Oryzias latipes: one gene and its partner. The protein of the gene in region 1 interacts with the protein of each later gene in a pairwise test. Links are inferred from orthologs where the notes say so. Each region holds a gene or a part of one and is shown on either strand. Other genes may lie near its edges.

Region 1 (7,147 bases):
GACTTCCAGATCCAGACTGATAGGATGGTAATGGCGAACCAACCAGACATTGTAGTGGTGGATAAAGAAGAGAGGAAAGCCGTTGTGGTGGATGTGGCAGTGCCAAGCGATGGGAACATCAGGAAGAAGGAACATGAGAAACTGGAGAAATACCAGGGACTCAGAGAAGAACTGGAGAAAGCCTGGAAAGTGAAGGTGACAGTGGTGCCTGTGGTAATTGGAGCACTCGGGGCAGTAACCCCCAAGCTGGAGGAGTGGCTACAACAGATACCTGGAAAGACCTCAGACCCCTCAGTCTAGAAGAGCGCAGTGCTAGGAACAGCTTTTTTTGTTTTTGTTTTTTGCTAGGAACAGCTGAGATCCTTCGCAGGACCCTCAAGCTCCCTCTGGTAGAGGACCCGAGCTTGGAGGAAAAACCACCCATGGAGGGTGAGACAGGCGTTATTATATATTCAGTGAAATAATGTAAACCACTGGACTGTAATGTTGATTGTTGATGTGCAGGGGCCTGTTTCAGAAAGGAGGTTCAACCAACTCTGAGGTTAAACTTGAACTCTGAGTTGGTCTATCGAGAGATTAACAACTCTGAGTTTCCTGTTTCAGAGAAGCTGATCAGAGTTAGATCAATCAACTCTGAGTGGACTGATTCGGAGTTAAGCGTGCGCACCGCAACTATAAGAAGCCATTATCAATGGAGCGCAGATATTACGAGTCACCATGGCAACCGTGAAAAAAAGAGGTCTGCGTATTTTTCTCCAGCTGAACTTGACATGCTGCTGCAGAGTTACAGTGAATATGAGCACATATTCCAGAAGAAAAGCAACACCGCTACATCTGCAAAACAGAGACAGTTAGCGTGGGAAAACATAGCTGCTCAAGTTAATGCGCAAGTTTGCATTTAAATCATTGTTATAAAATATTGACTGTAATAACTTTTTAAATAGCGTAAGGTGTGAAATAAAAAATGGTGATATTTAGGTGTACTTTTGAAGTGTTATTCCTGGTGTAATTGCATGAAATGCTGCATAGTGTACAGAACCAATCTGGGGGAAAAAATGCATTTAACGTCGGTAATGTTTAGAGGACTTTTTTGTTAACCTTCCCCTCTTGCAAACGTTGGTCAGTTTAATATTAATACATGCAATTGTGTTTTTAAAAGTGAACTTTTGTCTACCCTTGTATTGATCAAGTGGTATAGGTTTATATGGGATTAAGAAAGTAAGCAGTGCTAGCAAATTGTGTTTCCAAAAAGTAATTGTTACATTAATCTAATTCAATGTCCCTGTTTTCATTTTCATGTAGATGCAATCCTGCAGGAATTAAAAGAACACGGCAGCAGCTAAAAATGAAGTATAAAAACATAATTCAATCAGGTCAAATTTGAGCATGTCATGGATGTAGGCTTTGTTGACAATATTTGACATATGAAACATCTACATAGCAATATCTAATGTTGTTTTCATTGTATATATGTAATTGACTGCAATGAAAAACGGTAACGCTCAAACAAAAACGTATGGGGAAATGACAAAAAATCGAGTCTAGGTCTCAAAATCCTCGTACGAGGTAAATGTAATTCTCTACGAATTAATGCAGCCTCCTCGTCTATTGGGTCCTCCAAAAAAGGACAAGCCATTCTTGTCACTTGTCTCTGTGTGACGGACATTTGGGCAATGAAGGTTAAAGCGAAAAATATCGCTTCGTCTTTAAAAAGGGGAGGGGACCGGCAGAAACCTTGAGTTTAGAGAATAAAACCTGCTCCCCACCAGGTTAGGTTCACAGCGTAAGTAACCATGGACACTGACTCAGAGTATAAGTTACCTCTCTTTCAGAAACGGGTTTGACTTACTCTGCTTTCTCTGGTTTAACAAACCTCCCATTCTGAAACAGAAAACCCAGGGTTTCCCTGATTTCAGGGTTAACGCACTCAGAGTTTACACTTAACCTCCTTTCTGAAACAGGCCCCAGGTGGCACATTATCTATAATGTTTTCTTTAACCTATTGTGTCCTTTCTAATAGTTTTAGAAAGAAAACTCAATGTTATTTATTTAAAAAATAAACACATTTTCTTGCTAAGTTATAAGAATAAAATCATTTTAAAAAATTGAGAGTTTTTGAGAAAAAGCAAAGTCCAGAGTATGGCCAGAAGAGCAGCTGGATGACTACATTGGCTGCATGTAGGCCTGGTGCATGAGAAACCCGGGTTTGATTCCCATGGGGTGCAATGAGCTTCATCCAGTGTTAGGCTCCTGCCTAACTATGTAGCCAGAAAGTGTCGGTCCCGGCCTAAAGTAAATACAGGATTGTGTCAGGAAGGCCATTCAGTGTACATATCTCTGCCAAACCGACTGCAGATCAGTGAAAGCTGAAGGGATATGGTGAACAGCAACAACAGAGGATGAAGACGAGTGTAACAACGAGAGACAGCTTTCCAGGGAAACGATTAAGACTAAAACGACGGTGAAGATAAAAATGTTTAATACAAAACAAAAAGGAAGTAAAATTCTTTAAAAACTATTAAAAGCGGAAAAAATTAAAATTTAAAAAGAAAGGTTTTAAAAGGAAAAAAAGAAAGATTGAAATATGGAAGTCAACAAAGGGACGGTTTCAGAAACGAAAAAAGCTGCAAGCACTAAATCTAAAAACCAACGAACGAGAAAGGAAAAAAACTTTAGTGGGGAGACAGGAAGACTGATCCAGAATGTGTTTTCGTTCAGGCACGCAGACAGGAGACCTGTATGACGTCAGCGCGTCCAGCTACGTTCCCGCTCGTTGATTAGCTGTTTTGAACAGCGTCGAGCGCGCTGATTGGTGCGTTTTGAAGCCGAGTCCTGCGCTCAATTTTAAAGAGTGTCAGCTTTGTATCCGCAGCGTGAGCAGCGACAGCACGGAGGTAAGAAGCGGCAACCGTTAACGGCTTCAACCGGTAGATCACGACATGAAATGGTACCGCTTTGATATGAGGAGAGGCGCGTTGGCGGACGGACACGCGCCTTCCGGTAACGGCTCGGTTCGGTTTTCCCCCAACCTGGTTTTCAGATTTGGAGAGGCCTCAGCTGGCCGGTGAAAGTCGGTGGGGTTGGTTCGATTCCTACTGTTTTTATTCTGTCTCTGTAACGTCGAGCTGCTCGTTTTACGGTTTTCAGGCCTGAACGTTCAGCGGTTCTCAACGGAGGATCTGACCGTTTGGAGTCTGAACATCTGCAGAAGTCCGAGCTGAGAGGATTTGTCTTCTCTTTCAGGGACAGATGGAGGACTACGTGAAAATAGAGAAAATCGGAGAAGGTTGGTGGAGTAAAAATGTTTTTGTTTTTCTAAAATGTTGTCCAGATTTTTTTGGGGGGTGAAACCCACCAAAGAGGCCCACCTGGATGCTGAACTTGGAAGTCCTTGAAAGTTCCTCCACCCGTATATGGAGATGTCCCAGGATGACGTCTCAAGCTTTGCTTTGGTTCAGATCCTGGCTCTTCATTCTGATCATGGTCCCCTGCACCACAATCTGAGTGATGGGGTGACTGCAGTGGTTCTGGGACGTCTGAGTCCTCATCCCCTGACTCTGCTCTGGTGTCTGCAGGGACATACGGGGTGGTGTACAAAGGCCGGCACAAGTCCACGGGACAGGTGGTGGCCATGAAGAAGATCCGCCTGGAGAGTGAGGAGGAGGGAGTTCCCAGCACCGCTGTCAGGGAGGTGTCGCTGCTTCAGGAGCTGAAGCACCCCAACGTCGTCCGGTATGCTGCACGTGTGCGCTGAACAGGTTCCTGACATTAATGTCCATGCGCTGCAGGTAAAATGCAGTGAGGTGATGTCCGGGTCAAAGGTGCTGGGTTTTAGTCCCTCTTGTCTCATCTGAACGTTTGGGGATAATCCAGATGTTTGTTCTTGTTCAGCACTTCTTTCTCCTTGAACTCTCCTGTGGATCCATGATTGTTCAGAAGTCCCTTTCTGACTGTTGGATCATGAACTCTGACCTGAACACGTGCACACGTGTAATGGGAGGCCTCCACTTGCTTCCATGTTCTTTCCAGAGGGGTCCTGCTTGGGTTTTTAACTCTTTAGTCCTTCTGTAGGGATGTTCAGAGTAGCGTTAATGCCGAATCCCTCAACTCCCTCCGCTGATCTTGGAGGTGCAATAATGGTTCCACCTTTGTGTTCACCTGAAAGGCTCTTGGATGTCCTGATGCAGGAATCTCGCCTCTACCTGATCTTTGAGTTCCTGTCCATGGACCTGAAGAAGTACCTGGATAGCATCCCGTCAGGACAGTACATGGACCCCATGCTGGTCAAGGTAAAACACTCAGCGCTTCGTTTTTAGATTTCCTACTCTTTGTTGTGACAAACGCTTTCTATTAAGCTGAACATCCCGGTTTCAGCTGGGGGAGGGGGGTCTCTGAATGATAACACACCAGGTTCCTCACTAACCACGGACTGCAGCTCCAAACATCACAGATCTTCATCAGTTCTTCTGAGGCAGCCATGATGCTTTGTGCTGCTTGTCTGTGAGGATGTTCTGGTGTGGAACTAGCAGTCTACCACTTTGAGCCTGTTCCCTTTTCTGCCCCCCCCTACAGAGCTACCTCTATCAGATCCTTGAGGGCATTTACTTCTGTCACCGAAGGCGGGTCCTCCACCGCGACCTGAAGCCCCAGAACCTTCTGATTGATAACAAGGGCGTCATCAAACTGGCAGACTTTGGCTTGGCCCGGGCCTTCGGTGTTCCCGTCCGGGTCTACACCCACGAGGTGGGAACCGCTCCGCTGCAGAACCCAACGCTGAGGTCTGCTCAGCTGATCCAAGCTTCTCGTTCTCAGGTTGTGACTCTGTGGTATCGAGCTCCTGAGGTCCTTCTGGGTTCCCCCCGATATTCAACCCCAGTGGACGTGTGGAGCACGGGTACCATCTTTGCTGAACTCGCCACCAAGAAGCCCCTGTTCCACGGAGACTCCGAGATCGACCAGCTCTTCAGGATCTTTAGGTACCGTGTGGGAGAACTATTCAGCTTCTTTCAGCGCACACACACACACACACTGATTCTACAAGGAGAAATCAGGTCTTGAAGAGTAAAGGGGCTCTATTGTCCGTCTGCAGGACTCTGGGGACCCCCAACAATGACGTTTGGCCGGATGTGGAGAGCCTGCCTGACTACAAAAACACTTTCCCCAAATGGAAGGAGGGCAGCCTGTCCTCCATGGTGAAGAACCTGGACAAGAACGGCCTGGACCTGCTGGCGGTGAGAAGTTCTTCAGATTATGAATAAAGTAGATCAAGTGGACATTTCTCATGGGGTGGGGTCAGCTGCAATCTCTTCGGGGGCTCCAAAGAAAAGCACCAAACTAAGGAACATTTCAGTCTTTTTATTCTTTAATGATCTCAGAACACCCTCCACCACCACCGGGGGTCAGCAGAACCCTTCAAAACCAGACCTTTACTTTTGAACATCCAGTTCCTCCTCAGTAACCCTCCTTGTGTTTTTAGAAAATGTTGATCTACAATCCTCCCAAGAGGATCTCTGCACGTGAGGCCATGACCCACCCATACTTTGATGACCTGGACAAGTCCACGCTGCCCGCCGCCTGCATCAACGGCGTCTGAAGGCCTGAGCCCCCCCGTTCTTCTGTAAATACTTGTGTGTTTGTGTTGGAAATATTTTCCAGAAAAATGTGTGAATAAAGGTTTTCATCAAGTGTTGGTGGGTGTGGCTTTTGTCCCTGCTGATGTCAGCAACCCTCTTCAATCCTGCCAAAGACCTGAGATGTTTGTTCTGGCTGCTGGATTTCTGCATTAGATGCAGAAACATGAAACCAAAACCATTTTAATAAAAGGCCACTAAGGTACAAAGAACTGATTTAGTCTCCCAAAACCGATCTGGAGGGAGCTACACCTGAACAAGCTTCTCTGCCCACCAGGAGTCTTCTTCCTCATGTCTGATCAGCTGCTGCCCTCCTCTTCCTCCAGCAGGAACTCACTGATCTCGTCCTTCATCAGAGACCTGCAGAAACGGCAACAATAAACAGCTGAAAGCTGCTTGGCCAAACCGCTCCGCCTTCAAGCGGAGTAAGTCTGAACATCTGCAGCGTGAAGCTCGTGTGGAAAACTGACAAACCAGCAGGTCTGCTCACAGAAACAGGACTATTTTAGAATAAAATCCAGTGATGACTGAGAGGTCAAGAATGACACTTCACTGTTTTCAGGAAAAGCTGCTGATGCAGTCTTGTGTTGTTCAGAAGCTTAAATGATGCTTAAACCTAAAACTACATGGAATAAAGGTTTGTCCTCACCTCCTCTTCCTCCTCTGAGCCTCTGTCAGGATGTACTGGGGAAGATGAGCCACTGAAGACTGAAAGGATGAAGAAAGCACTTCAGAGTCTGGTCTGTGAGCTGCTGCTGTCAGTTTCTATTCTGTTACCATCAGTAGTTTCTATTTTTTGCTGGTTTCTATAGTCAGCTTCAAAATCAGAAGAATGTTGGCTGATTTCAGCTAAAACTTCAGGATTACTGGTTCAGTTACTCATTCCATTCCATGAAGTCAGCAGACTGAAGCAGAAGATGGTGGCGGTCTCACCATGTCTCTGAGGGTCAGCTGGCAGCTGTAACACAGCAGCTTCTGCAGGTCCTTCTTCTCTGGAGCTCTGAAACCAAAAGCACATCCAGAACTTCACCCACAGGAGATCCGGTTCTTTCGGCTCCCAAACGGCTCTGCAGGTTCGTTTGTTGCTTTATTCAATTTATTAACAACATTTATATAAAATTATGGACAAAACCAATATGTAAAAAAGTTATTCAGTGTATAATATGTGTGTCTGCCATTTTTTATTCCCCTCCAGATCAAATATACATAAAAGCAAAACCTGAAGTTATTCTCACATATTTTAAATGCCAGCAGCACAAAAACTGACGGAAATTCATGTTGGTGACATGAAATACAAGATGCTCTTTTCTCTTATCGTCCGCACGTATTTTAAGCGCGTCCAAGGCTAAAAGTGGTTGTTGGTGGCATGTACTTTAGGAGTTATGGTAAAAACAGGACTGGTTACCAGTTGCCCCGGTGAAAATGTTAAGTGGGCCAATATTAAGCCACGTATGTTCAGCATTTAAAACAAGTGTGGCCAAGAAAAAGGTTCAGCACTGGCTGCATGTCTTTAGGAA
Region 2 (7,147 bases), on another chromosome or scaffold:
ATCCCTATAAAGTGGCGAAGGCGCTACATGGTAAAGGAATTGGGACACAACCTTCGACTTTTCCAACAGTTTGATTCTCTTCTATGCTGATGATATCCGACTCTACATTTCACGTTTACTTAGTGTCCACTAAACGGGAGGCAGTGTACTTGAATAATAATAATCGGCTGCAGCTCACCGCTCCCCCAGTGGAGGGATGGGTCAAATGCGGAAACGAATTTCCCATTGTGGGATAAATAAAATAAAATAAAATCCTCCTTTTTTATCATTATATTGTAAAATGTCCTCATTTAGTCTAAAAAGAGTATTCACTTTGTCTACTTCCTACAATTAGATGGACTGCAGTAGTATGTTTAATAAAATAAAGTGTAGTACTTTTTAAACTAAGAAGCAGCTTTTAGTTCCTGCCGTTGATGCTTTGAAGCCTCATCTTTAGCTAAAATAGTCAGATTTGACGCATTTCTAAATCCTTTAGATGTTCATATTCTTTATGTTTCTAAACTTTAAACTACAAAAAAGTGTTGACATTTTTTTTGGTTAAACTAATTAATCTTTTGCTTCACTTTAGGTAAAAAGCTGGACACAAACGATTTATTGTTTTATTTATTTCTGCATGAATAAATGTATTTAAGGTCATTTTCTTAGTTTCCTGCAGACAGAAGAGGAGCGTCCTCACCTTCACGGTCTGGATGGCTCCTCTTCCTCGCAGCTCCCTGAGGAGCTTGATGGCGTCGCTCGCCGTCATGGTAACGGAGAGCTGAAGCAGCAAACAAGCTGCGACTGAGGAGGAGAGGACAGCGTGAAGGAGGAGGAGGAGGCGTCCGGACTTCAAAACACAAAGTTTGGCTTCTCACTCAGAGCGGATCGTCCCAGACCTCCAAAGCAGCTGGAACAGAAGAACGGCTGAGGTCATCCGAGGTTCAAACCAGTTTCTGATCTGGAGCCAAAACTGGATTTAAACGGCAGAATTCATGAAGAAAACTGGAAAACTGTGGAAAAGTCTGAATTTGCGCCTCATTTCTGTACATTGTTCAATTCTACTTTAGCTACAAATAAAAAATACTTTTTAAAAACACTAAACATTGGAGAAAGAAGGAATTAGTCTGAGAGAATAAGTCTGGACTGAAGACGAGCAAAAGCAGCTGAGGGTCAAAAATCCTAAAAGATTTGGAAAATTGAATTTCTAAAGAAAACGTTCAGGAAACAGATCTGAGTGGAGCTTTGCTGAGCTACACACTCAGACGTCGCAGCGTTTTCATCGATTGTAGCACGAAGACTCACTGGATCAGCGTCTTCCTGCCGCCCTCCAGGTGGCGCTGCAGCTCGTCCAGGATCCGGCAGCACTGCTCCAGCTCCGGCGCCTCTCCGTCGGGGATGGGCCAGTGCTGCACCGTGAGGCCTCGCCGCTCGTACGCCTCCAGCAGGGTGGGGACTCGGTACCTGCTGAGCTCCCCTCTGGTGCAGAAAACAAGCACATCCTGCACCCCCTGGTTGTGAAGCTCCTCTGAGGAGGAGGAGGAGGTGGAGGAGGGTCAGAGCACAGAGAAGATCAACCGAAGGTCTTTTAGGAACAAACTATGGAAAGAACCAAAGATCTATCTACAACAATCCTGATCCTGATTAGAGCTTCAAACGCATAAAAGGTCAAAGGTTCAAGACAAACAGTAGGAAAAATTAGAGTCAGATTGAGGAGGATTTATAACGTTCTCATGACTGTGAGGCATCAAAGACGTAGCTTCAGACAGAATTAGGAGCTGCTGAAGTCCAGAATGTCACAATCCTGTTCCTCCGATTGTCTGGTGGCGTTCCTCAGGGATCAAAGTCTGGACCTCAGACGTTTTCATTCGTTCAACGTTTCTAAAACTTTGGTTTTGGTTTTATAAATGTCTGAAAGTAAAGAGAATCTGTCCTGAAGTTCCAGGAAACGTCAGTTCCGGATTGGTCAGATGATCACACCTGCCAGCCGCTCGTCAATACGCGACTTTAAAACGTAAACATTTTTCTAATTTGTGTCTCTTTCTTAAGATTTGCCTGTTTTTAGTCGCTCTTCGTCGTTCTCAGGTGAGCTCTCACACCTGCCAAAGGAAGCAAACTCTCAGAGGAAGCGACCTCAAGGTCGCTCTCTAGAATAAAAGCAGATCGGCGGTTTGGAAAACATTTTATCTTAAAAAGATCAGAACAAGAAGAACTTTGAAAAGACGAATAAATTTGCTTTTTTTTTTCCAGAGTTTAGGGTTTGAAACCAAACAGGTTTAAAGTTCAGGTGAAAAACATCTTTTTAACGCGTGGCATGAGTTCAAACCTGCACATCTTTCTAAAGGACATTTCCTACGCGGTTGGAAACATGAAGGATTGTTTGCATTACGAGTCAGAAGAAAACGCCGGTTGTGAGACTCACCAACGTCTCTCTGCAGATCCCTGCGGATGTTTTTGTATTTGCAGCCTGGAATCCAGAGAAAAACAGTAAGTTATTTCCCTCTGCTTATTAACAATGTGAAACAGAACTACACCTGGTGGAATCCTGTTTACCTGGAAGTCCACATATTCCAAGGAACTGTGAAGACTCGACCGCAGACAGAGGTAACCTTAAAGCACAACACAGCTGTGAATGATGGACGGAGGATCTGAACGGATTAAAAAAAATCCCTTTCCATACCAAGAAATGTGCAGAGGAGTCAGATCTTCATCTCCCACATCCTCATCCTCAGATGAAGAGTCAAACTCATTTGTTCTCATTTCCTGAAACAAACACATGAAGAGAAAGTTTGTTAAAATATTACTGATCCAGAATGCTCTATTTTTTTAAAGACAGGTTATTAGTAGTTTAAAAGTGTTTAAATGTGCTGCCAAAGAAACTTCTTTAAAAAACGTACTTGATAATATTTTTCAACCCACGTGAGGACAAATCACAAATGTCTACTTTAGTCATTAAAGTAACTTAAATCAAATAAAATAAACGGATGGGATTGTCTGTAAAGCTAAACTAACCTCATATTCAGCTTCAAATAGAATCAGAAATGGTTTATTTATCAGCTCGTTCTCCTCACCTCGCTGTGTTTTTTTCCTCTTTGGTCTTTTTTGACAGCGATAGTTTGAAAATGGTATCGTCCAATAGGATTGGAGGGTTTATAAACCCCGCCTACTCTGTAAACAAAATGATTAAAGGTGCGTTCGATCCTTTTCCGGAGTTGTCGAGGCGGGCGGCGTGAGGAAAGATAATGATTTGTTCGACGTCGGAAGCAAGAAAAGGTGCGTTTCTTTTTGTCCCGCGTGGGAGCCTGAATGCTGCTAGAGAGGAGCTTTTCATTTGACAAAAGTAAGTATTTTCAGAAGTTTTTTTGAACTTTAAAATGACAAAAAATAGAATAAAAATAAAAAAGAAGCGGCCGTTTACAGTGCCACTCTGTGATGACGTCACTATTCTAATAAACACCAGTCTGTTTATTAATGTTAATCACATGTGACATTAAATTAAAATATTACTGTTTCTATTAATTAAAAAAGACCTTATTAATATCAGATTTATAAAAATAAAATAAATACAGTTATGATTATGAAGACCAGAAAACAGTGACTTTTTATGAAGCAGAATCAATCCTACAAATCATAATTAATGTAATTCATTTTGCACTAAAATGATGTTATTGAGTCCAATAAAGGCTTTTTAATGTCCAAACCTCCGTTTTAAATGTAGAAATATGACATTAGCAGAACATAATTAATTATCTTGTTGAAGTTTTCTTCAAAATCAAACGAGTCCTGATAATGTTGGTCTGCAGCGGGGGGGGGGGTTGTTTTTCTGTGGGGACACGGTCGTGTCACGAATCCTCTGCAGGAACCTGCTGTCCACTCAGAGCAGCAGAGCCGGCCCCCCAGGACCAAACCAGGGTTTTCCCAGCAGACTTTTCTGCTTTTTCTGAACATTTTAGGAGGAAATCTGACAAAACTGATGAGCGTCTTTGAGACGGCGAGTTTGATTATGAGTTCATCATTCATCGGTCAATCCTCGTTAAAATGCAAACACGTTTTCTAGAACATAAATGTAAACGAAAGCGGCAAACTGCACATCCTGCATGGGGGGGGTTGCATGCTGCCCGTCCTTCTGGCTGGTGACTCATAAGGAGGAGTCTCGGCGCTCGTTTCCCTGCAGGTTCAGGGCCGCCGTGCCACTTCCTCAGCAGAGCGCTGCTGGCAGGAGCAACACCTGAGCAGGTAACGGCGCTCAAACAGCAGAAGCCTTTCCGATCAGGACGGCGCCGTTTGTGTCTCTCTGCATATCATGAAGCCTCAGGAGGCCCGCCTCGTCCACGAAATCTCAAAGGTAAGGAGCCCGAGCAAAACAAAGTGCAAACGCGGCAGACGGTCTCTGAATGCCGCCTCTTCCAGCTGCAGAGCGCGGTCGGCGAGCTGAAGGCGGGCTTCGGCAGCGCCCTGCTGGAGCTGGGTCAGATCCAGCACGGAGACCTGTACCTGAGGGAGGAGCTGCAGGAGAGCCGCAGGAGCTGCCGCGACAAGGCTCTTCGCCTGGAGGCGCTGGTGGAGGCGCTGCGGGTGAGACGCTCCGTCCGACGGCCCCCGCTGTGGCGAGGAGGCCAGTCCGGTAACAGATGTGGTCACTTCCAGGAGGAGCTGGAGGCGATGAGGAGTCAGGTCCTGCAGCTGCACAGCAGCAGAGCTCAGCCGGAGGCAAAGAAACAAACACAAAGGTAAAAAAAAACCTTTTTATGAGCTTCATGGATGCTCTGACATCAGGAATCTTCATCGCTCGTTTCTTCAGCCTCACAGATATGGAGTGATATTGATGCCACCAAGTTTCACACTAAACGTTCTAATTCGAAAATATTAAATTTTTGCCTTAAAAACATTTTTTTTACAAATGTTGGCAGCTGTTTCACGCTAAACTGAAAATTATGAGAGCAAAATCAAAAACAGGAAAACAGTGAGATGAGACACAACGCATTTAAAAACAGTGTTGCAAACTAAAAAAAAACCTTTTTAAAGCAAAAAAAAAAATTTTTTTTTTTAAATGTTTGTGAAGGCTACAGAGCCCCTAAAGGGACATTGAAGAAAAAAAACAATTGAAGTGGAACAAAATAAATAAATAAGTAGTTTGCTCCCGTTACTATCTGGTGAGCACCAGTTCGTTTTTTTGTTTGTTTTTACTTCAATTGTTTTTTCTTTCCGTTTATTTTTTTTCCCAATGGCCCTTCAGGGGCTCCGTAGAAACAAAAAACAAAAAGTGAAAGCAAATTTTTAATATTTTCATTTACAACTGAGAAAGTTTTGTTTGCAACGTGGTGCCATAGAAATCACTCCACACCCAGAAACTCCTGCTTTGGAGTCAAACATGAGAAGTTTCATCCAAACGTGTGGAATTGAACCGACAGACCCAGAAATGGCGGCTGACGTTTGACAGTTTCCGTCTGATGTCCAGCTGTGATCCGGCAGGTGAGGACCGCGCAGGTGTGGCCGCGCCTCCCGTCCGCCCCTCCAGAGGGAAACTGCTCCTCCGCTGTTTCCTGCAGGGCCTAAAAGCCGGGCTGAGTGAGGGCACAGGTCAGACCCCCCCCCAAAAAAAAGTGGAATTAAACAAACGTGGGACGGTTTCACCAACATCACCTGCTGTTGCAGACGCTCGACACCAGGTGGCGATGCAGCTGCTGCACTCGGAGTGGGAGTACGTGTCCACGCTGAACCAACTGTACGACCGGTACCGGACCCCCCCGGCCCACCAGCTGATGGGGGAGCCAAAGTGAGTGAAGGGGGGGCATGCATGTGTGTGGTTTAGGGGCGGGGCTAATTTTGCTATTTTTTTTTTTAGTATTTCTCATCTGAAATTGATTGTTTACGTCTGTGATAACCGTGTTTTGTTTATGACTCGATGCCTCCTGATGGAATGCAGTTCTCATATCTATGAGTTTGTAACCAAACAACACGAAGGATTCTAGTAACTGTCAGAACAAAGTCTGTAAAGTCATTACTTCATCTTATTCATAATAGATTACAAAGCAATGGAATCAAACCTCCCTTCTTAGAGGTGATCATTAATGAAACCCTCATAAAAGATGAAAAAACGCAACAATAAATCACTAACTGTAACCTTTAAACAAAACGTCTTCTGGAACTTTAGTACAAACAATAGACGCGACAAAGAAAGCTTTTATTTTCTGTTCATCTAAAACCGAAACATTAAAACATTTCTTTCATCGTTTAAAAACATTCTGGACCGATGTTCATAATTGGCTGTTTTTAATATTCCCTCTCTTCTTTATGGAATCCTGGACCTGGAAGTTTCTGATGTCAATCTTATGATTTTGTGGAAACACTTTTTTATTTATGTACATGGAAACACATCTTTGTTTAGTAGCTTTTTTATTTAGTTTTTCTGATTATTTTAAGTGTCTCAAACAAAAACAAGAAAACTACAGTAATGTATCAAACCTATTGTTATTTTAAATTGTTGCCTTTCCTATTTTTATTTTGTTGGATTTTTGTACGCGCATTTCAAATGTTTGCTCACCCTATCTTGGTTTGAATATGAATTGAAAAAAATCTGAAATAGATTGAAATAATTTAAATGAAATCAGAAACATTACAAAACATTAACAAAACTGCTGTTATCTTGTATTTATGTTTTTGTCATCACTAGAAAAATATAACTTTTTCTTGGTTTTTGTGTAAACATAATTTTTCTCTGATTAAAAATCTTAACTCTAAATCAAATTGAATTTTTTAAGAGGTTTTTTTTTTCACATTTTTTTAAAATATTAGTCTTTTCCTTCATCGCTTTTTTTTGTTTATATCGAGAAGCCCTGCCGCCCCCTGGTGTTTGGCGGCGGTATGACACTCAGCTGGTTTCTCTGTCATGCAGTCAGACGTACGTGAAGCTGCTGGAGCAGCTTCTGCAGCGACACCTCCTCTTCAGGAACACGCTGCAGGAGCGCCTCTCCACCCAACACTGGAAGTCTCTGGTTGGAGACATCCTGGTGCAGCTCATCGGTCAGAACGACGTAAGGCGACGTCTCCTCGCGTGGCGCCGGTGCGGCCGGTTTCAAACGGTGCTCAGAGCGGCTCTTTTCTGATGTCCAGACAGCTTTTGCAAACGCGTACCTGAGCTACACCTCCACCCTGGCCTCCTTCCTGTCCC

Evidence for each region.
Region 2: the proteins of cdk1 (region 1) and cdkn3 interact in a two-hybrid assay, tested with the Homo sapiens proteins (2 studies listed by BioGRID and IntAct). The link is inferred for Oryzias latipes from reciprocal best matches to the Homo sapiens genes CDK1 and CDKN3.

What each region holds. Positions count from the first base shown.
Region 1 is NC_019873.2:1,584,959-1,592,105, forward strand, and holds cdk1 (cyclin-dependent kinase 1), read left to right. Parts: upstream 1-2,886; 5' UTR 2,887-2,894; intron 2,895-2,934; exon of another isoform or gene 2,935-3,079; intron 3,080-3,243; 5' UTR 3,244-3,249; coding exon 3,250-3,286; intron 3,287-3,575; coding exon 3,576-3,732; intron 3,733-4,165; coding exon 4,166-4,289; intron 4,290-4,572; coding exon 4,573-4,743; intron 4,744-4,812; coding exon 4,813-4,976; intron 4,977-5,089; coding exon 5,090-5,231; intron 5,232-5,335; exon of another isoform or gene 5,336-5,476; coding exon 5,477-5,593; 3' UTR 5,594-5,689; downstream 5,690-7,147. Other genes in the region: ctu2 (cytoplasmic tRNA 2-thiolation protein 2), read right to left, coding at 5,930-5,990, 6,280-6,338, 6,564-6,630. UniProt on the Homo sapiens protein: Plays a key role in the control of the eukaryotic cell cycle by modulating the centrosome cycle as well as mitotic onset; promotes G2-M transition via association with multiple interphase cyclins.
Region 2 is NC_019880.2:1,394,917-1,402,063, reverse strand, and holds the start of cdkn3 (cyclin-dependent kinase inhibitor 3), read right to left. Parts: upstream 4,387-7,147; intron 4,322-4,386; coding exon of another isoform or gene 4,280-4,321; exon of another isoform or gene 4,151-4,279; intron 3,317-4,150; exon of another isoform or gene 3,172-3,316; intron 3,145-3,171; exon of another isoform or gene 2,989-3,144; intron 2,740-2,988; 5' UTR 2,737-2,739; coding exon 2,657-2,736; intron 2,586-2,656; coding exon 2,530-2,585; intron 2,444-2,529; coding exon 2,399-2,443; intron 1,505-2,398; coding exon 1,282-1,504; intron 887-1,281; coding exon 855-886; intron 781-854; coding exon 677-780; intron 1-676. Other genes in the region: uncharacterized protein LOC105356878, read left to right, coding at 4,280-4,321, 4,387-4,706, 5,435-5,556, 5,632-5,752, 6,872-7,010, 7,090-7,147. UniProt on the Homo sapiens protein: May play a role in cell cycle regulation. Dual specificity CC phosphatase active toward substrates containing either phosphotyrosine or phosphoserine residues. Dephosphorylates CDK2 at 'Thr-160' in a cyclin-dependent manner.